Linked DNA regions of Caenorhabditis elegans. The protein of the gene in region 2 interacts with the protein of the main gene of each other region in a pairwise test. Each region holds a gene or a part of one and is shown on either strand. Other genes may lie near its edges.

Region 1 (6,819 bases), on a different chromosome or scaffold from region 2:
CAATAAACTTACAGAATCCGCGTAAAAAATTTAAAAAATTTAGAATCAGAAAAAAATTACCATAATTTTTGAAATTCTAAAAAATATTGTTTCACAATTGTTTCAAATTTATTAACTTAACTTTTTTTTGCCTAAGTCTCTAGATTTTTTGTCATGTTAAGTAATAAGCGCTATCGCGAAAGATAACGCGGCCCTCATTTCTCGGGTTCGTTTGTGAACTTTTTTGGAAAACCTACATATTTTACCTGGAGCGCTCGATTTTATCATTTTCAAATTTTTAGGGCCCGGTGTAGTGTCCGGCACATAATTCCGAAATCAGTCAACTTTGAAGCTTCTAAATTACAAAACATAATACAATTGTGATAAGTATATGGACTTACCAATATTGTCTTTCTGAGATAAAACTGTTAAATTTCCACGTTGAAACAGGAAATTTTTTTTCAAAAAAAAAAATCCCAATAATACATTTATTCCTAAAAACCTTTCAAATCCAAAATCCAAATTAAGTTGCAAAAATGTTCGCTAAAAACATTTCAGACACCCTTGGGCTTTCAAGTAAATAACAATTTCAGCGGCCGACATTTTTCGGGTTGGAAAGGCATAGCTCGCCTAACAACCCAGTTTTCAGCAGTGCTCGACGTTATTGTTTAGTTTTCGTAACCCGGAAAGTGTGTCAGCCACAAGATCACTTGACCTAGAAGCTTCCAGAAACCCGAAAACCTATGATCTACTATCAATCTACTATTTAATCGTTCAAAACCTTTACTGAAATCCCCTACAATTCACCTCTTACTGCACCCTGATGATTGTTTACCAAATGTCTCCGCGAAAATGTCCACGATTCTAGTAATATGTCTGTCAGATTAGCGGGTGTTACCACTACAAATTTTGTTGATAAAGGGTGTCACGAGCCACGTTGACCACGAAAAGAGATGGGGAGGGTGAATTTTAAAAACATTAAGGGATTTTGGAGGGCTTCTGGAAGAGTGAAAATATTTTTAAGATTAAAATTAAGTTATTTAAAATTTCAAACTCAAAGTTAAACTATTAGAAAAGCATTATTTATAATTGATTATAATTTCTCTGAAACATTAAAAATAAATTTGATCAACAAAAAAAAAGAAAATCAGTTTTCCAAAACAATTAAATTTAGTCCCAAGAATGAAAACATCAGAGAGGTATTGAAAAGAAATTTAAAATTAAACAAATTAAAAACTCTTGAAACAGTAATTTACAAATGTCATTCCTTGAAAATTGTCTTTTTGAAAATTTAGTTTTTTTAAAGGATTTTAAGTGGTAATGTTATTTTGAAAAGTGGTTTTTATTCAAAAATTTGGAAATCTTTCATTACATTTTAGTACACAGTTTAATGGTGGGTTTTACATTTTTGCAAAAAAAGTTCAAATTCCTGACTGAGTAATTTTTGAATTCCCGCGCAAACAAAAAATCTGTGTTGGCTTTCAAACTTTTTTGGTACTCTAAAATTGTTCTAAAAATCGAAAAAAAAATGTCTGAAATTTAAAACTTTTTTTTTGCAATATCGAAAACTTCTGGTACATTTTTTAAACAGTAGAATTGCCTTGTTACGATCCATTTCTATATTTTACAGCAGAACTCCTGTCAACCATACTCCACCTCTGGATTGTTTTCAAAAATTAAAAGTATTAAGAAAAAAAAATTACAGTTTCAAATATGTCTGAAAAAAATTACAGAAAAAATATCAGCAGTACGACCAAAAATGAGATTGAGTTTATATGTTTCAAATTTTTTTCATGAAATTTCGGGAACTAAGAAAAATTCAACTGAAACTATAATTGATGTTTACGTGGAATTAGGAAGAATTCGACTAGAAGGCAGGCAGGCAAGTAGGCAGGAAGAAAATATGTACTTCAGAGTAAAATTTGGTTAGTTTTCTTTCAGGGATTTGGAAATTGAACGTTTGCTGGTGATTGCCACTTTACATTAAAACAACAATTTTTTGATAATGCATGCTGACAATTGTTATTAAATTTTCGAATTTCCTGCAGTTTCAATCAGGTTTTATAAGTTTAAAGCTTTCTTGAGCTACACTTTAACAAATATAGATTAATAAACTATTAAAATAGGTAATTTTTGAAAATTAATAGTAACCCAGAAAATAAAATTTTTTTAAAAAATATTAGAATCCTCTGATAAGGAGAAGTACAATGGAAAATCTGAAAATTGAAAAAATTTTATGAAACACTTGAAACAGGAAATGTTTTAATTTTTGATAAGATGTTGTCTCAAAAATTGCAACAATTACAAATTCTCTCCAAATGTTTTTTTTAAGTTTACATTTAAATTTTCACAACTTTATTTTCTCTGTGGAATGTGGGAGAAATAGGCAAATAAACCCACCGTGGGCTCATCAGCTCACTTTTGTCGTTTGTGTAAAATTTGCTTAGTTAGCTTTATTATTGTCAACAGCGGAATAACGATTTGTCGTAATTTTAAAAAAACATCCATAAATTAGGCAACTTCAGCGGCAGCTTTCTGTGCAGTTTCCTCAGCAGCATCCTGTTCATCCGTATTGATTCCAAAGATCTCTCTGAGTTCAGCAGTTGTTTTGCCCTTTGCCATGTTGGAAACAGTCTTACATCCATAGTACATGAGACCCTTGATGTCAAGGAAGTTTGAAGCCAGAATCAAATCAAACAGAGCTTCATCCTCAATTTTCAAAAACTTTTGATCCCATTCTGGAATGGTAAGAGTCTTGAGAACATTCATATTGTCCTCTGGAATTGCATCGGCTTTGTGCTTCTCACACAATTCAGCAACCTTCGCCATAGTCTTTCCATTCACATTTGTAACTGGAATTGGATCACGGGTCTCGATGTTTTCGATGGTGTAGCCGAGATTCTCAATCAGATTGCTCAGAGTTTTCGATTGTTGAACGGCTTTTTCACTCATTTTGGATACAACTCCATCGCTCGAAATGATCTTGTAAACGATTTCAGCAGCTGGAGCATCGGCAACTGGAGCAGACATAGTGATGACTAGGTAGATTCTGAAAATGTCAGATATGAGCTATTTAGGTTCAAAAGTTAAGGTTCAAAGAAAAGAGAGAGAAAAATTGAGAAATCACTATTAAAAAAAACAACCAGTTCACAATGCAACTGATGTATCGAATGATGGATGACTGAATAGATGTGCTCATACGCGACGCGCACTCAAAATAAATCGATACATTTCTGTGGGAAATTACCTAACCGTTGAGGGATGACTGGGAAAAATGTAAGGTTGACAGATGTGATCGACTCGAAGAAAACTAGAATCGATGAAATTTGAAAATAAAAAATTGGAAGAATAAATTTTAAAAATTTACTGTTTCAACATAACTTTATAAAATGTCATCTTCATATTAATGATAATGCTGATGTAAAATGGTTGGAAGATTTTTGGAAAAATGCCAAATACACGCAACACACAAATTGTACGGAATTGCAAAAATCACAGGGAAAAACTGAAAGTGAGTGCCTGCCACTAAAGAAAATAATGTAGATTGAATGCAAGTGAACATGATAGGTAATTATAGACAGTGAGCAGTCAGCCGACGCTGTGCTGAAAATCAGTCGATAATATAATGGGTAAGTCCTCTGTCGAGCTGAAAGAAGAGCAGCTGGTAATTGTTCACTGACCTAATACGCAATCGATAAGCTACATTTGCAGCGTTCTTGTCATATTCTGAATATTGTCCATTCGAAGAATCATTCTGTCGTTTGGCTCGCATCGCGAACAGTCGCATTTCATTTTTTCTCTCCTTTTCTTTATTTGTCTGATTTTATTTTAGTTTTTTATTTCCTTTTACCTTTCTGATCTTTTGAATGGTGCCCAACTACCCTTTTATAAAAAATTTTCTCTTAACGTTATTCCTCGCCAGTCTTCCATATTTTGTTACGATCTTTATCAATTCATATTTTTTAGAAACTACCCAAACTTCTAAAAATGATTGCTGAAGCCGCCGCGGTCGAAGTTCAAGCCAACGAGGCTCCAGTTGTTGCTCCAATCATGTACAAGGTCGAATCGAATGATGGAAAAGTGTTCGAAATCAGTGATGAAGCAGTTAAACAATCAAATATCCTCTCCAATCTGATCTCTACTTGTGCTCCAGAGGATGTTGCTTCAATGGATCCAATTCCAATCACAAATGTCATTGGAAATATCCTGAAGATGGTCATTGAGTGGTGTGAGAAACACAAAGGAGAAGCGCTTCCAGTTGAAGATGACAGTGTTCCAAAGCATGTCAATGTTCCCGAATGGGATACCAACTTCTTGAAAATCGACAACGACGTGCTCTTCGACTTGATCGTTGCCTGTAACTACCTTGATGTGCCTGGATTAATGAATTACGGATGTAAGATTGTTGCCATGATGGCCATTGGAAAGTCTCCAGATGAGTTGAGAATCATCTTTGCAATTCCAACTGATGAAGAGGATGAAGCTGCGGAGAGAGCTGCTAAGGAGAAGGCTGAAGCTGAGAAGAAGGCAATCACCGACAAGGACGCAGCTGAGCCATCAACTTCCAAATAACTTTCACACTTTTATTTTCGAGTTTTTGGTAAATAAATACATTTGACTGTCATTATAAGTTTTTAAAAAAAAATTTCAGACTGAAATTGAATGTAAAAAATAAGAAAAATTAGTACGTATAAAAGAGAAAATCTTAGAATTTGTTAAACAGTTGATATAGTGTTAAAGTTGTACGATATAACTGTAAACCGTTTCAATAATTATTAGTAATATTATTACTTACAGTTGATTTGAAAACGAACATTCCTTAAAAAAAACCAATATACAAACGTTATGCAGAAGTAAGCTTTGAAATAATGAAAAGTAATGCTTGTAATATTTTGTAAAAACATTCGCGAAAAGGGCCAAAAAGATTTGAAGATGTTCAACGAACAATTTGTAGACTACACGTAATTCAAATTTATTCGATTTTTTTGGGTCAAATTCCAAAACTATGATAAATGTTTGACTATTTGAAATCTTCAACAAAGAAATCCAAATATCTTGCAAATTGTTGTGCTCAATTGAATAAAAGATGGAATAAAACAACAGAGTTGGAAACATTACATTTTTGAAACGATAAATTCGAAACAGTAGATTTTATCAGAATAAAAACTTTTTTTAAATTTTTTTTGTATTATTCTTTCTGTGCTCGGCCTCATTTTCTTGAAAGTAAAAAAAAATCTGAAATTCATATTTACATAAATTGTAATGGCAGCCAAAGGTGTTAGTTGATCAAAAACTCGAAAAATTTGTTTCATGGAAACGAGTCACACTAAGGTAGGCGTGTCATGTAGGCACAACCGATTTTTAGAAATAAATATAATTGTTCGAGCGTTTGAAATAATTAACAAAAGAATTCAAATGTTTTGCACATTGTTTGGTAATGTACTCTTATGATTAAAATTGAACTACAATTGAATTGAGTGCTATCATAGTCCTAAAATTATGAATCCAAAACCGTTGGTTTTCTTTTTCTATAGGTAATCCTATTTTTCATGTTTTCGACTACATCTTCTGTAATTTTAACTTTAAATTATTTTTATAAAAACGTCGAATCACAATCAAATTTATTAATGTCATCAAAAACTTGAAAAAATTAGAGCATGAAAGTTATTTGGAAGTTGATGGTTCAGCTGCGTCCTTGTCAGCAATTGCCTTCTTCTCAGCTTCAGCCTTCTCCTTTGCAGCTCTCTCCGCAGCTTCATCTTCTTCATCAGTTGGAATTGCAAAGATGATTCTCAACTCATCAGGAGATTTTCCGATAGCCATGTTGGCAACCATCTTGCATCCATAATTCATTAATCCAGGCACATCAAGGTAGTTGCAGGCAACGATCAAGTCGAAGAGCACTTCGTTGTCGATTTTCAAGAAGTTGGTATCCCATTCGGGAACATTTATATTCTTTGGAACACTGTCATCTTCAACTGGAAGCGCTTCTCCTTTGTGCTTCTCACACCACTCAATGACCATCTTCAGGATATTTCCAGTGACATTTGTGATTGGAATTGGATCCATTGAAGCAACATCCTCTGGAGCACAAGTAGAGATCAGATTGGAGAGGATATTTGATTGTTTAACTGCTTCATCACTGATTTCGAACACTTTTCCATCATTCGATTCGACCTTGTACATGATTGGAGCAACAACTGGAGCCTCGTTGGCTTGAACTTCGACCGCGGCGGCTTCAGCAATCATTTTTAGAAGTTTGGGTAGTTTCTAAAAAATATGAATTGATAAAGATCGTAACAAAATATGGAAGACTGGCGAGGAATAACGTTAAGAGAAAATTTTTTATAAAAGGGTAGTTGGGCACCATTCAAAAGATCAGAAAGGTAAAAGGAAATAAAAAACTAAAATAAAATCAGACAAATAAAGAAAAGGAGAGAAAAAATGAAATGCGACTGTTCGCGATGAGAGCCAAACGACAGAATAATTCTTCGAATGGACAATATTCAGAATATGACAAGAACGCTGCAAATGTAGCGTATCGGTTACGTTGTAGATCAGTTATTGATTGGAAAATGTACATACACTGCTCTATTGAAGCTGTATTAGCTGCTGTTCTTCGTTCACCTCGATAGTCACAGGGACTTGTCCATTGTGCAGTTCATCGATTAATTATTAGCACAGCGTCTGCAGACTCTGTATTGCTTGGTACCCATTCTTTCATTATGCAATTTTTTGTTCAAGGCGAGCAGTGTTCTGATTTTTTCCATGTTGCTGTTTCTTTTCCCATTTCTGGTTTTTTTTACTACCATTTTCTATTACGCACACCAGATCGTCGTT
Region 2 (10,152 bases):
AGATTTTTTTTTTGAATTGAATTTTGAGATTTTATTTAAAATTACCATTTTTTGAGAAATATTTGAAAATGTCTCACACTCTATAAAAGAACAAAACCGAGAAAAAAACGTAAATCTAATTTTCAATCATTTTCAGCAAGTATTCTATCCGATGATAATGCCCCAACAGATGCCAATGCAACAGAACCAACATCCTCAACAAAGTCTTATGGGCGAGCGATCTGATCAAGGATTCCCGACGTCGGGATACTTTGACTACCGTACAATGCCAAACTATCAGCAACAACAACAACAGCAACAGCAACAAATGCACCGCCAGAATTCGCTTCCACAGCAGTTCCAAGGCAATCAAGGTAATGTTTTAAATGTTTATAAAGTTCAAATTTCTAACCGTTTATGAAGCTTTGAAGGTGTAAATCCATCTGGTCAACAATCTGGTCCACCACCACCGCCACCACCGTCTCAACAAGGCACACCACGTGATCAGCAGCACTCTCAGAGCCCCCCGTAATCATATCTATATGCGCTCTTCCTGCGCTTTTCAGTGCTTTATATAATGTTTCCCCAATATATATTCATTTTAATATTCTTATTTTCTTCCTTCTCTTCCTTCTTTTCATCAAAAATCCGCTTCTCCCCCCTTCCCCCATGCCACCATCTACAACAACCACAAAAATCTCGTGGAATTCCGAAATTCCGTCATAAACAACAAGATGTGATGTTCTAGTTTTAGAAAAAACCGTGTGTTCTTTGTATCCCCTCTTGTGGGTAAAGTTCACACCGCCAATACCTCCTCCTCCTCCTTCTCCCCACACAAATTACTTGTAGTGTCGGAAAAAGTACACTTTTCCGTACACGAAGGATCATGTCAAAATGCTCCTTTCACTTTTTATTCGTTATTTCTCTCGCTCTGCCTTCCTGATTATCCGTTTCCGAGACCGTCTTATTCTTTTTTTTTCTTGTAAAACCAAACCAATAATCCTTCCTTTTTTCTTTTTTTTTGAGCAATACCATCCCTCCCCCCACAACAAAATCTATAATTTATTTCCTTAACATTATTATCTTCAACCATCTCGCGCACACTACTCATATTCTAGTGAATGCCCCTTTCCCCCGTCCCCCAGATGTAATAAACATCAATTATTGCTCATTGTATTTTTTTTCACAAATTCATAGTTTCAGGGGTCAATCAGTTCAGAAATAGTTCAAAGATTGAGGATCTTCTTCTTAAAATGAGCAGAATCCGCATACGGCCAGATCTTCTTCGCCATTTGCATCTTCGTCGCCACCTTATAATCGTTAGGAGCTCTCTTCTCACTGATCGACAGAGCCGTGAACATCTCCTCACCACCGCCCTTCCCAAGCTCCCACTCGAATCGGCCAAAGAACGATCCACGGACTCTCTTGAAACCGGCAAAGCACTCGCTCCACAGGCCGAAATAATCCGGGCGGCTCTTGTATTCCAGTGTCTCCAGGTACTTGTGAATATTCGCAAATTCCTTGGGACACCCTTTCAACAAAGTTTCCATGGAGCATGCAATCTTCGCGTCCATAATCTCCTTCTCATCGGTCAGTCGGCGCCACGGGAGCCCACAATGAAGCTCGATGAGCATGTAGAGCCACGACCAGAGATCATCGACGCGTCCCTGCTCTTTCCGATTGTGAACGTTCATGCTGCAATAGCGAGGAGTTCCACGGAATAGTTGCTCGCCGGATCGAGCTCTGCGGAGTGCGGTCTCTCCGTTCTCTCGTTTGGCGGTGAATTGACGGACCATTCCTGAACGAAGTTTGGTGTGATTTTTGAATCAAAAATACGGTGCCGGGTCTCGACACGACAAACATGTGTGTTGAATGCGACGTGCACCTTTAAAGATTACTGTACATTTCAGTTTTTCATGATTCAGAGGATGGATCTGGAAAGTGTTTTTTTTTCGAGAAAAAACGCAACATAAGGAAAACAGTTAAAAAAAATTACAGTACTCATTTAAAGGCGCACACCTTCTCGCATCAAACAAAATATTGTCGTGTCGAGTAACGGGATCGTCAAAATTCGTAAAAATTTACCATAATCAATAAGATAGACGTTTTTGGCGTCACTCCCATGAACCCCGGTCACACAATTTCCCGGCTTAATATCCCGATGAGTGAATCCCACTTCATGAATCTGTTTGATAGCAAACAACGTTGCCATCGCGAGACGAAGAGTCGTCTGCTCACAGAATCTCGGAGTATTAGCATCCCGTTTATGAGCCATCAGATCCTTGCCAAGAAGAGTCATCACCATGAAACAATACGATTTTCGATCGCCAGCATCCATCAATCTTGCACAAAACGGCAGTGGAGCCAGTGATTTGAGCACGTGAGCCTCCAGCTTCAGAACCCCGCCGTCACTCACGTCTCCCTCGACTTTCATTGCGGCGTATGTCTGAAAGCGGGTCAGATCTCGTACTTTGAACACCGCACCCATACCGCCTTCGCCGAGTTTTTCAACGATTTTCCAACGCTTTGCGATTATCTGAAATTGAGGGAAATTGTGAATTTCCGGCTGAAAATGCTCAGAGAAACTCACTTTTCCTTCTGTGATCGCTTGAATTTCTTCCATACTGATTCTGACCACGAAATCGATTGAAACTGTGTAGCTAATAGAGAAATGTAGCTTTTCGAAATATTGAAATAAATTTAATTATTTATTCAATCCTTTTATGTATTGGTTTTTTGTTATTCACATTTTAAAATATTTTTTATTTTTCACGGCCGTTGTTCACCGATCATATGATTACGGTGAAAATTCTAAAACTATTTATTTCCTATTTTATACCAAATAGTTGCAACATATTCTGATAAATCATGTAAGTCTTGTAAGAATACAAAATGTTCTTAGATTTAATTAATGTTGTTTTTTCTTGTTATTCCAGGTACAGTATCTTTTTAAAGGCGCACGAACTAATAAGTTTACCGAGTCCCGCCAAGAACTGTTTCGAGTTTTACAGCGATTTTTGTTCATTTTTTTTCAGTTTTTGTCTATTTATTTGTGAAAGAATAATTTCTCCTCTTTTCCGCAATAGAAATATAAAAAATGATTACAGTTTTATGGGCTCCTGTTTAAAAAACCTAGTTCTACAGTACTTCGATTATTACTTCCACTAATTAAAATTTCCTTTGGGCATCGCCAGGATCGATGTACAGTTAAAAATCTGTTTTCCACCTGTTGTTTTATCGAATTCTTTTTTTACTTTTTTTTCTGCATAAAATGCATGTTTTCTCCAGTTTTTCTCGAATGAAAACGCGTTTTTCAACTTTAAACTATTAAAAATTCGCTTTCGTGTATTTTGCACATCGAAACACCTAAAAAACAAACTTTGCTATTGTTAAAACCTTAGAAAACTCCGCCCGTTCATTGCACAGCCGCTAATCATTCCCTCCTGTGACCTTTCTTTTCCAGATCATCCCGCCATCTCAGCTGTCTTTTGTGCACTAACAGAACCATTGTACTCACCAGAATTTCTTTAAGAATCGATGAAGACACAAGATGAGGCGTCTCTAGCTTGTGTCGCGCAGTCTCCGTCTCCAAGGGTGTTTAGCTCACTGAAATGGGCTCTGAAAAATCAACTGAAATTCGCTTTTTTTCTGTTCTTGGAAATTCCTGAGTCCCGGGGAAAATGAAATAGTCTAAAATTATTATTATTTAGGTGTCTTTCATCTGAAAATTTTCCAAAATTCACAGAGTTTTTGAAAATCTCCTGTTAAGAACAATTTAATTTATTTCCCCAGTATCACTTGAAAAGCTAGAATTATCGCTGGAACAATTTCCTTATGTATTTATTTAATTTCCCCTTTTCCCAGGCTAGCAAATTAGAAAATCTCCTATTTTCCCTCCAATTCCCAGTTAAATTTATCGATTTGCGGTGAGAATCGCGTCCGAGGGCAATCGATTTACTGTCTTCCCGCGATTTTCAGCGCGTCTTCTTAATTTCCAGTCGGAGGCTCACTATCGAGTCATTTCTAACGTCTGCTGGCTCACAAGTATCCCCATTCAGTGATGGCTCTGGATTTTCGTCTTTTTTTTCTATTCTTCCAGGATATCTATATTTCTCCCCCAATTTTGCTCCAGTTTTCCAATTTTTTTGAAAACATCTATTTTTCCGGGATCTCATAAATTTTCTCAATTTCAAGCCCATTATTTCCACCTTCGGTGACTTTTTCCCAACACATGATGATTTTGGATTGGAGCGCGTTTGCGTTTGGGCCCTTGTTTCCTCGTTCCTCTGTTTCTTGCGAAATTGACAAATCCCTTGATTTTAATCGACAATTATTTTTTAAAAATGTGTTTTTCAGTATGACAAATAGCGAACCGAGAAGAATGACGTGTGATTCCGAGGTGGTTTGGAAGAAATTACAAGATGGACTTGATGTAGCGTATCGCAGAGAAAATATGGCGCCAAAAGACTATATGACTCTTTACACGTAAGATTTCCCCCCGAAATTCCACAGAAACTCAATAAAATCTTTAATTTTCAGAAGCGTCTATGACTACTGCACATCGATAACATTGTCCACAAGCCGCCGAGACGGCGAAGACGGTCGAGCAGAATCTTCAACTCCAGCACGAACCGCTGGCGCGGATTTTGTCGGTCACGAGATGTACCAGCGTGTTGAGGAATATGTAAAAGCGTACGTAATCGCTGTTTGTGAAAAGGGCGCCGAGTTGTCGGGCGAGGATCTTCTGAAATACTACACAACTGAATGGGAGAACTTCCGAATCTCGTCGAAGGTGATGGATGGTATTTTTGCCTACCTCAATCGTCATTGGATCAGACGTGAGCTCGACGAGGGCCATGAGAACATTTACATGGTTTATACACTTGCGTTGGTCGTCTGGAAGCGTAACTTGTTCAATGATCTTAAGGATAAGGTGATTGATGCGATGCTCGAGCTGATTCGTTCCGAGAGAACCGGATCCATGATCAACAGCCGATACATTTCTGGAGTTGTCGAGTGTCTTGTGGAGTTGGGTGTTGACGATTCGGAGACCGATGCGAAGAAGGACGCGGAGACCAAGAAGCTGGCCGTTTACAAGGAATTCTTCGAAGTCAAGTTTTTGGAGGCGACCCGCGGATTTTATACCCAAGAGGCGGCAAATTTCCTGAGCAACGGAGGAAATGTGACAGATTACATGATTAAAGTGGAGACAAGACTTAATCAAGAGGATGATCGCTGTCAACTCTACCTGAATTCTTCCACAAAAACTCCACTTGCAACTTGCTGTGAATCTGTGCTCATCTCTAATCAGCTTGACTTCCTCCAGAGACACTTCGGTGGTCTTCTTGTCGATAAACGAGACGATGACCTTTCCAGAATGTTCAAGCTTTGCGATAGAGTGCCGAATGGACTCGACGAGCTCAGAAAATCCCTGGAGAATCACATCGCAAAGGAGGGTCACCAGGCGTTGGAAAGAGTTGCTATGGAGGCGGCAACCGACGCGAAACTCTACGTGAAGACGCTTCTGGAGGTTCATGAACGTTATCAAAGCCTTGTCAATCGATCATTCAAAAATGAGCCAGGATTCATGCAATCACTCGATAAGGCGGCGACTTCTTTTATCAATAATAATGCCGTCACTAAACGTGCCCCGCCACAGGCTCAGTTGACAAAGTCCGCGGAGCTTCTTGCCAGATATTGTGATCAACTGCTCAGAAAAAGCTCGAAGATGCCCGATGAGGCGGAGCTCGAGGAGTTGCAGACGAAGATTGTAGGTTTTTCTCGCTTTTTTTTTTCTCAAAATGGCGTAATTTCCAGCTAAAATTTGAAATTTAACCAACTTTTTGCATATTTTGGTTGTTTATTTCGTTGATTGAGGAACATTTTCGATCGATGAGTGCACACTGCGAAACTGATAAGTTGGCTAAATTTGAGATTTTCGCTGAAAAAAAAAAACAGATTCCTCTCCTTTTTTTCATATCGTTTTTCATACCGATTTTTTCATATCGATTCATATCGAGGCTTCTCAAAATTTCGAAAAATACGGCAATTTTCCCAACTTTTCAATTATTTACCTTTTTCTGACGTTTAAATGTGGCTATAAATCGACCTAAATCAACGAAAAACGCCAGTAATCAATTAAAAATCAATTTCCGACATACGGGAAAATTTGAGGTTTTATCTAAAATTGCCATATTAAAGGATTAAAAGATTTAAAATATTTCAAACCTCCATAGAAATGAAAACCCAATTTCTAAAAAGTTAGCTCAAAATTCTAAAATTTCTATTCCAGATGGTTGTGTTCAAGTACATTGACGATAAGGATGTATTCTCCAAATTCTACACGAAAATGTTCAGCAAACGACTTATCAGTGAACTCTCAGCAAGTGATGAAGCCGAGGCTAACTTTATCACGAAGCTCAAGAGTATGTGCGGGTACGAGTATACCGCCCGTCTCTCGAAAATGGTCAACGATACTCAAGTCAGCAAGGATTTAACCGCGGATTTCAAGGAAAAGAAAGCGGATATGCTCGGCCAGAAATCCGTTGAATTCAATGTTCTCGTGCTCAGTTCGGGCTCATGGCCGACTTTCCCAACGACACCAATAACTCTTCCACAGCAGCTGTCGAAGACTATTGAGATCTTTGGACAATTCTACAATGAGAAGTTCAATGGACGTCGGCTCACGTGGGTTTACTCGCAGAGTCGTGGAGAGATCACTTCTACAGCTTTTCCCAAGAAATATGTGTTTACTGTAAGTTTAAACGTGGAATTTCTATCTAAAAATATTTTTTAAAAATCCGGAAGAAAATGCCTGAAAAAAGTCCAAAATTTTACTATCTGCCACCCAGCTAAAATTTGAATTTTCACTTGGATTTTATCGAATAACAGCTAAAAACCTAAAATTTTCCAGGCCACAACTGCTCAAATGTGCACAATGCTTTTGTTCAACGAACAGGACTCGTACACTGTCGAACAAATCGCCGCTGCCACAAAAATGGACGAAAAGTCAGCACCAGCCATTGTCGGCTCTCTCATCAAAAATCTTGTGCTCAAAGCGGACACAGAACTCCAAAAAGAGGATGAAGTACCGATGACGGCGACCGTAAGCCTCAACAAAGCCTACATGAACAAGAAAGTTCGTGTCGATTTGTCAAAATTCACGATGAAGCAGGACGCCGTGCGTGATACGGAAAATGTGCAGAAAAATGTTGAGGAGGATCGGAAGAGCGTGATTAGTGTAAGTTTTTGATGAGAAATCGGCGGTTTTGGAGAGAAAAATTCAATAATTTCAGGCTTGCATCGTAAGAATCATGAAAACTCGCAAACGTGTACAGCATCAGCAGCTTATGACAGAGGTTCGTTTGGAAATTTCAAATTTTCGAAAAAAATCGATAAAATCTACGTGGAAATTTAATTTTAATGAACTTTCGAAAAAAATCTGATTATGGAAAAACGAGTTTTTCATAATTTGTTGATAAAATCTACGTGGAAATTCAAATTTTCTATACATTTTCGTAAAAAAAACGCGTCGAAATTCGAATTTCTTATGAAATTTCGATAAAATTCTCTTGGAAATTCAATTTTCAAAAAAAAAGTTCACCTGAAATTGGTAGAAACTCTGTAAAAATTGAAAAAAAAATCTTCAAAATTTTCGAGCTTTCGTAGTGCATTTTCAACACAAAATTCTGAAGAAATAAATTAAAACCCCTAAAATAAAAGATGATATCCACGTGGAAAATCAAGTTTTCCATGAAATTTGAAAAAAAAAAATCACCGGAAAAATCGAATTTTCTTTGAAATTTTAAAAAACTCCACTTGGAAATTCAAAGAAAAAACATCTAAAACCCTCTAAATATGATATTTTTGCAGGTGATCACACAACTTTCCGGTCGATTCAAGCCAAAGGTTGAAATGATCAAGAGATGCATTGGATCACTCATCGAAAAGGAATATATGCTCCGTACAGAAGGACAAAAAGATCTCTATGAGTACCTCGCCTAATTCATTTCATTTTAAATATTCTATTTTCTCTTTTAAAAACTATTTTTCCCCTTTACTTTTTTCGCCCAGTTTTATTCTCCACCCTCTTCTTCCCTTCATATCCGTGTTTTTGAAAACTTCAACACCATCTGTATTCTATTACTTATTCTCCTCTCCAAGTCCCTCCTTATTCGATTGTTCTTCTTTACAGAAGCGGGTCCTGGCTTCATTTTGCGCTCTCTGGTAAATGGTCCTGGGTTTTGTAAATCGTTTGTGTGTAGAATATTCGAAAAACCGTATACTCGGTAAACCTTTTTGATTTTTTTTCGTCTTTTTTCGGAAAAATTAAAAAAAAATTCAACTTCCAAGTGAATTTTTCAGTTTTTTCAAGGCCAAATGCAAAAAGGTGAGTAGTCACTTGAACCACAGACAACAAAAAAATCGATGACGAATTATTACAACAAGACAATTTGGATGAGACACTACTGCTGCTCTGACCCCTCCGTCTGTTCACCAGATGCACTTTTTCCCACTGCTCTGAGTCTTCACACTAATGCTTTGCTCAGTCTTCTCTGTTTATAGACTACTATTTGAAGGCTAACTTTCCACGTTGCGTTGACCGGGAAATTTGAATTTTCAGTTGTTTTTTATTACACAGTCGCGAAATTTTCCGTACCCGGTCTCGACGTGACAAATTTTTGCTAAATGTGAAAAGGTGTGCGCCTTTAAAGAGTACTGTAATTTCAAATTTTCGTTTTTGTGTAATTTTCTTCGATTTTTTTAAAAAGTTTTACTTTAAACATTTGTTTATTTCAAAAATATAACAGTAAACGTACATAAATTTCAGCAAAAATTGTGAGAAAAACTTTGAAATATCGATTAAAATTTCGCTGAAACGAAAGTTTGATATTACAGTACTCTTTAAAGGCACACATCCTTTTGCGTTTAACGAAAATTGTCGTTTCAAGACCGGGATATCTTATTTTTTGGCGTAAAAATCGCAATTAGAAATTCCAATCTTCACTGTATAATGGAAACTTTAAAAAATTCTACTATTCTAATATTTTTTAGAACTTTTTTGAAAAAAATCGATAAAAAGTTTCCAGAATCCCTTCACAAAATATATGACCGAATTTCTACACTGCTTATTACTCTTCCACGTGTTTCTGAGCTCGTGGGCTCTATTTCCGGGAGCTGAGCCAGATGAGGGAGACGTTCGGCACATTTATCCGCCGGTGTATATAGGGGTTGGGCTCGGTGAGCACGCCCACGCAATTCCATACTTTTTGGGTTGGCTGGAGAATTTGGATTATCCAAAGGATAGGATTAAAGTGGAAATTTTCATTTTAAGCAAGGAAGATGCGACGATTCATCAGGTTAAATGGTTGGTTTAAAGGCGCATAACTTGCAAACCACAGGAACATGGATTAAGCTTAGTCTTAGGTTTAGGCGTAGGCGTAGGCTTAGGCTCAGGCTTTGGCTTAGGCTTAGGCTTATGCCCATGCGTAGGCTTAGGCGCAGGTTTAGGCTTGGCGTCAGTGGCGAGCGTTAGCTGACGCTATTTAGGCTTGGGTTTATAGCGTTTTTTCATTTTTCAAAGGGTTCCCGTTGGCCGATCAAAGCGAAATTTAACAGAGAGTCGTATAGGCCACCAAGAAGCTTAAGTCTGAAGTTTCAAATTGATTCCATCAATTAGGCTTAGGCTTGGGCTTGGGCTTTGGCTTAGGCTTAGGCTTATGCTTATTCGTAGGCTTAGGCTTAGGTATAGACATAGACTTAGGCTTAGCCTTAGGCTTAAGATTCGGCTTAGGCTTACGCTTAAGCTTAGGCTTAGTCTTAGGATTTTGCTTAGGGTTAGGCTTAGGCTAAGGTTTAGGCTTAGGCATAAGATCAGGCTTAGGCTCAGGCGTACGCTTAGGCTTAGGTTTACGCTTAGGCTCCTTAACTTCGTGCTCCTGCAACTTTTTGAAAAAACTGCTGAAAAAAAATGGCAACGAACAAATTGTAGCATGGAAAATATTTTGTCAGATAATTTTCCAAAAAACGTAGTTTTCAGGTGGCTAGACTCTACAAAACAATACTTCAAATCTGTCAAAATAATCGAAGAATCAGAAAATTGGCTGGAAAGCGGATTGAGGAATGCGAGACTTCAAAAAGTTGAACGTTGTCTTCTTATTTCAGGAGATACAG
Region 3 (6,874 bases), on a different chromosome or scaffold from region 2:
TAAGAAAATGAGAATTGAAAAAAATCGACTTGTTCACTACAGCATTTTGATGAATTACCCAAATTGAAAGCAAGAGTAGTCGATCTTTTAAGATTCAGAAAAGGGAATTTTCCTACCTAAATAACCTTAAAACTTTTGTTCAAACAATATTTTTAATTAGATTGAAACTTTTCCTGGATTTCAAATTACATATATTAAATTATTTTTGGGAATATTTGCTACTGGATGGTCGATTCTCTGGTTCTTCACGGCCTAGTCTCATAGCATCTTTAATCCAAAAAGTGTCAAGAGTAAGTTTGTTAAGCAAAGAGTCTATGCAAACATGCATCAATCGTATATAAACGGTAACTTTTCAATTTCCAAATCACTTCCGAGTCTCACCTGAAAAATCTAAGAATGTTCCAAAAAACCACAATTGTCATGATTTTTGCCCTTTTCTGTATTTCATCGTGTCAAGTTTTATATACTCCTGAAGTTGTATCATCTCCATATTATTATGCTTCATCTCCAGTTGCTTCTGCTTATCCATATGCTTATGCTTATGGAGCTGCTGCTTATCCAACCGCATATTATGGATGGGGATCTAATAAGGTAATAAGATATCAGTTAGCATTCAATATCTAAATATCTATAAATTCAGGGACAACAAGCTCCATCTTCTGCTCCAACACAGAAATTGACAAATAATCAGTAAAGAGATATTTCATTTTGGAATATGTGTACTATATGAACCACCGAATAAACTGTTTCCATTTTAGTTGTGTTAATGTTATTTATTTTTAATGTGTCTTTACCGTATGGTTTGATTATCAAGAAGGTTTTTCTATAGAGTTCAAAAAGCAGCATGCAAAAAATGAATCTGGAGTTTGAAACACATTTCATTTGGACCATGTCCGAGGATTTTTGAGGTTTAGGTGAATTTCATAGCTGTTCTCAAAGATTGAACTCACATTCGTTTTTTTTAATGCTAATTATGTATAACAGAGTAAATCTTTAAGAAATGAAGTAATTCAGGAATATTTAATAACGGTAATTTTAATACGGTTTCATAGTTAATATAATTGTGTTCCAATTCCCCATCTCCAATAATTCGTCTATACCAAACAGTTAGTCAGAGAGTTCAAGGTGTGCCTGAAATGACAGTCCATACCTTTTTAAGCAAACATCATTCGAAGTATTTTATCGTATGTGTGATTCACATAAAACTCGTCGTCTATATAAAGCGGTAACGTCGTCTATATAAAGCGGTAACGTCGTCTATATAAAGCGGTAACGTCGTCTATATAAAGCGGTAACGTTATATAAGCGGTAACTTTTCAATTTTCCAATCACTTCCGAGTCTCACCTGAAAAATCTAAAAATGTTCCAAAAATCCACAATTGTCATGATTTTTGCCCTTTTCTGTATTTCATCGTGTCAAGTTTTATATACTCCTGTTGTATCATCTCCATATTATTATGCTTCATCTCCAGTTGCTTCTGCTTATCCATATGCTTATGCTTATGGAGCTGCTGCTTATCCAACTGCATATTATGGATGGGGATCTAATAAGGTAATAAGATATCAGTTAGCATTCAATATTTAAATATCTATAAATTCAGGGACAACAAGCACCATCTTCTGCTCCAACTCAGAAATTGACAAATAATCAATGATCTCTCATTTGAAATATATGCACAATAAGAACTATTTGAAATGTCAAAATAAATTATCTGACTTTATTTGTGAAGCCCTAAAATTATTCCACAGCAATAAACACTTAAAAACAAAAAATCTTAACACAAAATTTTTAATTAAAAAATGTGGTTAAAAATACTACAAAATATTTTTTCAACGTAACAACCTTAAATGTTCTAAAAGCCGAAATGTTGTTTTTTGAACATATATAATAAAAAATCAATATTCCTATCTTTGTATGATATTTATCAATTAAAATTCATATATAACGAAAATTTTAAAGGTAAGTTCCGGGCTTCTCAAGCAGAATTTTAGAACTTAACCACATAATTATTTCAGAATTTGTAAAAGTGTCTATCAAAAAAGAATGGCAGACGATGGATACGAAGTAATTGGTCCCGTCTATTCGGTGCCTCCTCTTGCATCACCGATGCCCACGATGGTTCCTCCATCGCCACTCGCAGTCACTCCAAAGGTTAAAAAGGATGAAGATTCTGGATCAAGTGCGGCGGAGACGACCAGAGCCGGAAAACATCGAAAAAGGACAAACGCCTCAGAGTATGAAGTGGTTGGTTTTTTAATGATTTTGGCTTTTTTTAGCGATCTAGCTTTTCTTGTTGAGAAAATACTGAAAAGAATAGTATGACATGAGTATTGGTTAACAGAAAAGTCCCAGAAGTTTCTGTAATTTTGTTAAATTCTTCAAAACAAGAATCTTCAAAAAAGCCTTTTTTTTTAATTGAAAGTAACTCCTCTTTGCTTACATCAATATTATATAAATTCAGAGCAATATGGAGAGCACCCACCATGATGTAGTTTCGATCAAGCACAGACCAAACTCGTGTGACGTTTGCCACGTGGCGACTCTTTTGTTCCTGATTGTTATGGTGATCGCCATATCGACTCCAGTTCTCCTTTCTGCAAGTAAGGGCGGACTTCCATGGATTGAGAATAAGTTGATGGAAGAGTCTAATTAAGAGTACTGCCGAGTTTGAATAAAGATTTTATGGGGAATTTTTTTGTACTCACATCTTTCAAAAGTTTCCTGAAAAATTACTAAGCTTACAGTAACCTTACAGTAACGCTCTTTACGCAAATGTAAAACTTTTACATGTATTTACATAAACAAAAGTTTTACATATTTAAAATGACCATGCTTTTTTCAAAAATCTCAACGCTTTAAAGCGCTATGAACCCCTGAAGCGCCAAAATCTCTGCGTCTATTTAATTTGAATTCCGCGCGCAAATGAGCGACCATCGTGTACTCTCGGACAATCAAATAATTTGTTGATTTTCCACAAGTTTATGTGTTCTTCGAATTTTCTCATTATTTTTCAGTTTTTTAATTGTATTAATAAATTTATGAATGCATTTTGAATGGATTGATGCTCAATGAGACAAAACTCTTGTTTTATTGAATTATTTGGTTGTATTCCCGCATTTTTTCTATTCCACTGAAAAATAAGTTTTTTTTTCATTTCGATCTTTGGGATCTTTCAAATATGACTATTTTCTCTTATTTCTACGAATAACTTCATCTATTGAAAGTACTCTAGTTTCCCAATTCAAGAAAAAACATTTTTACATGAATGTGAATTCCCTCTCGAGACTTATCCGAATAATTAAAAGAACTTTTTACTACTCCTTCCAGAATATTAAAAATCTACCGTTGTCTATCTTCCAAAGTGTTCATTGCTCCATTCGCAATAACATTTTTATCGCACAATAATAACCGTTTTCTCAGCCACTGTTTTTCCAATCCACTTGTTACACTACACTCGAAATATCGGGAAAGTTCAAATTCCACTGTTCCAAGTTCCAAATGTATTGGTTGCAGTATCGATCGGAAAACAATAAACTCCACTCATCCTGCGTAGCACACCTCCTTCTATTTCGAAATCAATGTTTCCTCGTCATATGTTGTATCTCTCACACCCTCCGTCTTCTTCTCTATACTTGTAAAAGAGCGCGTCGCGCAATACTCATAGAGTTTCATTCTTTTGCATTTATTCAGTCATTCATCATATTCTTCTTTTCTCTTGCTTATCTTTGGAATTCCTCTGACATTCATTCTACCATTTACTAGAATTATAACATTGATTTTGTAAATACTCTTCCTCATTCTCTTGCAATAAAAAACAATTTCCTAACCGAAATCATTTCAGAACTTGCACTACATCTTCCGTTAACAATGCCATCTTGCGAGATCAAATTCGACTTCAACGACTCTGACGAGTCAGTCACTGTTCGTGAAACTCGCATTATCCTGCTTCTTCCAGTCATCCGTCGCGCTGTTGAGCTCCAGGTAAGATATCAGATTTTTTTTTTTGAGAAATATAGATTTAAAAATAAACGTTTTTTTCAGTATCCGGATTTCGCGACCGAGGAGAATGCGGTGATTGAAGCTCCATTCAGGGTTCCATTCAAGAAGGATGCTGGAGTATTCCTCTTCGATACCATCGCTCGCTACGCTGCACCAACCGATGACAATGTCCATGAGATCACTGTTGAACAAAGTTACCCAGAAGCTGGACCGAAGACCTTGGATGAGCTCAAAGAAATCATTGAACTCGCCAACTTCTGGGAGTGTACCACTTACATGGAGTGCATCGGATTTGCGATTGCAAAGAAGTTGGAGGACAAGACCATCGAAGAGATCGCCGCTTTCATGGGAGTCGAATGCAATCCACCAGGAAACTTCTTCGCAGAGGAAGACGGATGGATTCATCCACCAGCAGACGCTTTCCAGAATGTCCAATAGATCCGATCCCCTCGTAATTTGCTCTGATCTCCCACTGCCAATTTCCATGATTTTGTGTTAAATATATTCAAGCTCAATACTTTCACTTTTTACCTCCTTGTAATATATTAAATACTTATCAGAACTTTTTCAAATTGATTTTAAGGAATGAATAAAATGATTTTCTCGAAATGTGCTCACAAATCTTAAAAAGAACTCGAAATCAGAATTGCCAAAAAAATCAACAGAGAGGAAAGTAATTGAGGACGATTCATGCAAAATTACAGTATCAACTCGATTAGTTCAACCGTGAATTGAATAAAAAAAATCGACGTCAAATCCACGGAAACAAGGTTGCCACGATTTTCAGAGGTACTCGCCCTATTCCAGTTATTCCGGATTTTGATGAATTACCGTAGCTCACGATGTTTACTATTCCTTTCAAATTGAAAGTTTCAATGTCATCATACTTCCGTGAAAAAGTGAGACATTCAGTTTTAAAGGCACATGATTTTTTTCTGAGTTATTATCGCGACGATTTCGGCTAGTGCTCACGCTTTTACAAATGTATGATAGCTCTCCTAGTTGAATTTTGTTTTAATCTGAAAACGTTTAAATGGGAATATTCAGCCCAGATGTTCTGCTTTTAATACTACATGTGCAAATTTGGAACACTGCCAAGTGATCGATATTATTGTGTATCTGACATTGTTCAATATATATCTACTTCCAATTTACAAAGGGTCATAGATTGCCCTTTCTTCCTACAATAGCAATCTTGGCAGTGATGTTTACCTCTAACGTCTTGCCAATGTATTCTAGGTCACATCTTTCGACTTTCTTCCCACTGTTCCACATTGATTGTGACAATGAGCACAGTTTAAAGCGTCGTAGCAGCTGGTATATCTTTTCTTTCTATTCATTCATAAGACTTTTGTAATATTTAGTTTAACCAATTGTTTCTTTCTCCGCGCGGAGTTTTCCATTCTCATAAATCTTTCATTTTCAAAAATTCGTTTTTTCAGCCAATAATAATGCCATCCTGCGAGATCAATCTCATCTTCAATGACTCTGAGGAGCCAGTCACCCTACGTGATACGGGGATCATTATGCTAGTTCCAGTGATTCTTCGGTCGGTTCAGTCTGAGGTACGTTAGCCCTGAATTCAAAATTAGTATTTTCGAAACTAAATCTCGAATTCTTTGCAGTTCCCCGACTTTGAGAATCAAGATAACGTCAAGGTTACTTCTCCACTTTCAATTCCGTTCAATAAGAAGGCAGGTGTCTTCCTCTTCGAATATATTCAAAAATATGTTCCACCAAATGATGATACAATCCACGAATTGACAGTCGTCGAGAACTACAAAGAAGCTGGACAGAAGACTTTGGATGAGCTCAAAGAAATCATTGAGCTAGCCAACTTCTTCGAGTGTACTGATTTCATGGAATGTTTGGGATTTGTGATCGGAAAGAAGTTGGAAGACAAATCAGTTGAGGAGATCGCTGCGTACATGGGTGTGGAATGTAATGCACCGGGACACTTTTTCGATGAAGCCGATGGATGGGTTCATCCACCAGCAGATGCATTCCAGAATGTCCAATAGATCCGATTCTCCCCCAGTTTGCTCCGATCTCGTTCTGCTAATTTTCATGATTTTTTGTTAAATACAACCTCAATACTTTCAATTCTCGTTTCACTGCAATAAAACTTGTTGACTATATATTTACTTCCACTGTTTGAATTTTAAAGTTTCTGAAATAGTTTATAAAAACTTGGAAAAAATATCACAATACTTGAATCAGGATGCAATAGAAATGAGCACTATAAAAGCTAGCGGCAATCGGGGAAAAATGACAGATCAGTGAAACTTTGGGATTTGGAAAGCGTCGAGAAACATGGTACATTGAACGTGATTATCTACTGTTTCTTCTTCTCATCTTGCTTGTTGGCAGTTTGACTTCCCCAAATATCAGCAAATGCAAGAGTTCCAGCAAAGACAAGAATGGCTCCAAGCCAATGTTGAGCTGAAAAAGAGAGGAATTTTGATTTCTAAAGACGATTTTTTAGTATTTCTTTTTTTTTCCTTTCAGATTAGATTATGGAGCCCTAGTTTACGACCAAAAGAATCACATAACGTTTTTTAAAACATTTGATTTTGGTACAAAGATATGGTACCCGGTCTCTGAACGACCAAAACTTCCCAGCTACCGTACCCGCAAGTGTTCTAATTTTCTACGACTTTTCTGTTTTTTTTCTTCAATATTTTGATTGATCTCCATCAGGAAAAATGTTCTAATTTTTGCATTATAAATTATGAAAAATTGAGCGAAACTCTAAAAATATGCTTTAGGTATGGTAACCGCGAAGTTTCGATTGTGTCGAGACCAGGAACCTTTCTAATCACTTTTACAATTAAAAAAGTCAATAATAATCTTACGTGTAAATGGATTCTTGAA

What was found.
Region 1: the proteins of cul-1 (region 2) and skr-9 interact in a two-hybrid assay, tested with the Caenorhabditis elegans proteins (one study listed by BioGRID).
Region 3: the proteins of cul-1 (region 2) and sup-36 interact in a two-hybrid assay, tested with the Caenorhabditis elegans proteins (one study listed by BioGRID).

The regions. Positions count from the first base shown.
Region 1 is NC_003282.8:17,159,607-17,166,425, forward strand, and holds skr-9 (Skp1-related protein), read left to right. Parts: upstream 1-3,966; coding exon 3,967-4,551; downstream 4,552-6,819. Other genes in the region: skr-13 (Skp1-related protein), read right to left, coding at 2,491-3,009; skr-8 (Skp1-related protein), read right to left, coding at 5,644-6,228.
Region 2 is NC_003281.10:10,466,902-10,477,053, forward strand, and holds cul-1 (Cullin-1), read left to right. Parts: upstream 1-4,335; 5' UTR 4,336-4,336; coding exon 4,337-4,464; intron 4,465-4,518; coding exon 4,519-5,749; intron 5,750-6,271; coding exon 6,272-6,733; intron 6,734-6,892; coding exon 6,893-7,219; intron 7,220-7,274; coding exon 7,275-7,337; intron 7,338-7,851; coding exon 7,852-7,983; 3' UTR 7,984-8,228; downstream 8,229-10,152. Other genes in the region: atx-2 (Sm domain-containing protein), read left to right, coding at 141-353, 411-511; D2045.5 (non-specific serine/threonine protein kinase), read right to left, coding at 1,206-1,777, 2,065-2,515, 2,570-2,602; D2045.9 (Glycosyltransferase 25 family member), read left to right, coding at 9,087-9,346, 10,019-10,152. UniProt on the Caenorhabditis elegans protein: Probable core component of multiple cullin-RING-based SCF (SKP1-CUL1-F-box) E3 ubiquitin-protein ligase complexes which mediate the ubiquitination and subsequent proteasomal degradation of target proteins.
Region 3 is NC_003282.8:6,597,838-6,604,711, forward strand, and holds sup-36 (SUPpressor), read left to right. Parts: upstream 1-3,836; 5' UTR 3,837-3,868; coding exon 3,869-3,982; intron 3,983-4,042; coding exon 4,043-4,438; 3' UTR 4,439-4,606; downstream 4,607-6,874. Other genes in the region: nspb-4 (Nematode Specific Peptide family, group B), read left to right, coding at 397-591, 641-694; nspb-5 (Nematode Specific Peptide family, group B), read left to right, coding at 1,361-1,552, 1,602-1,655; F38A5.8 (uncharacterized protein), read left to right, coding at 2,045-2,245, 2,463-2,654; F15B10.3 (BTB domain-containing protein), read left to right, coding at 4,843-4,899, 5,443-5,565, 5,626-6,021; nstp-2 (UDP-xylose and UDP-N-acetylglucosamine transporter), read right to left, coding at 6,336-6,442, 6,856-6,874.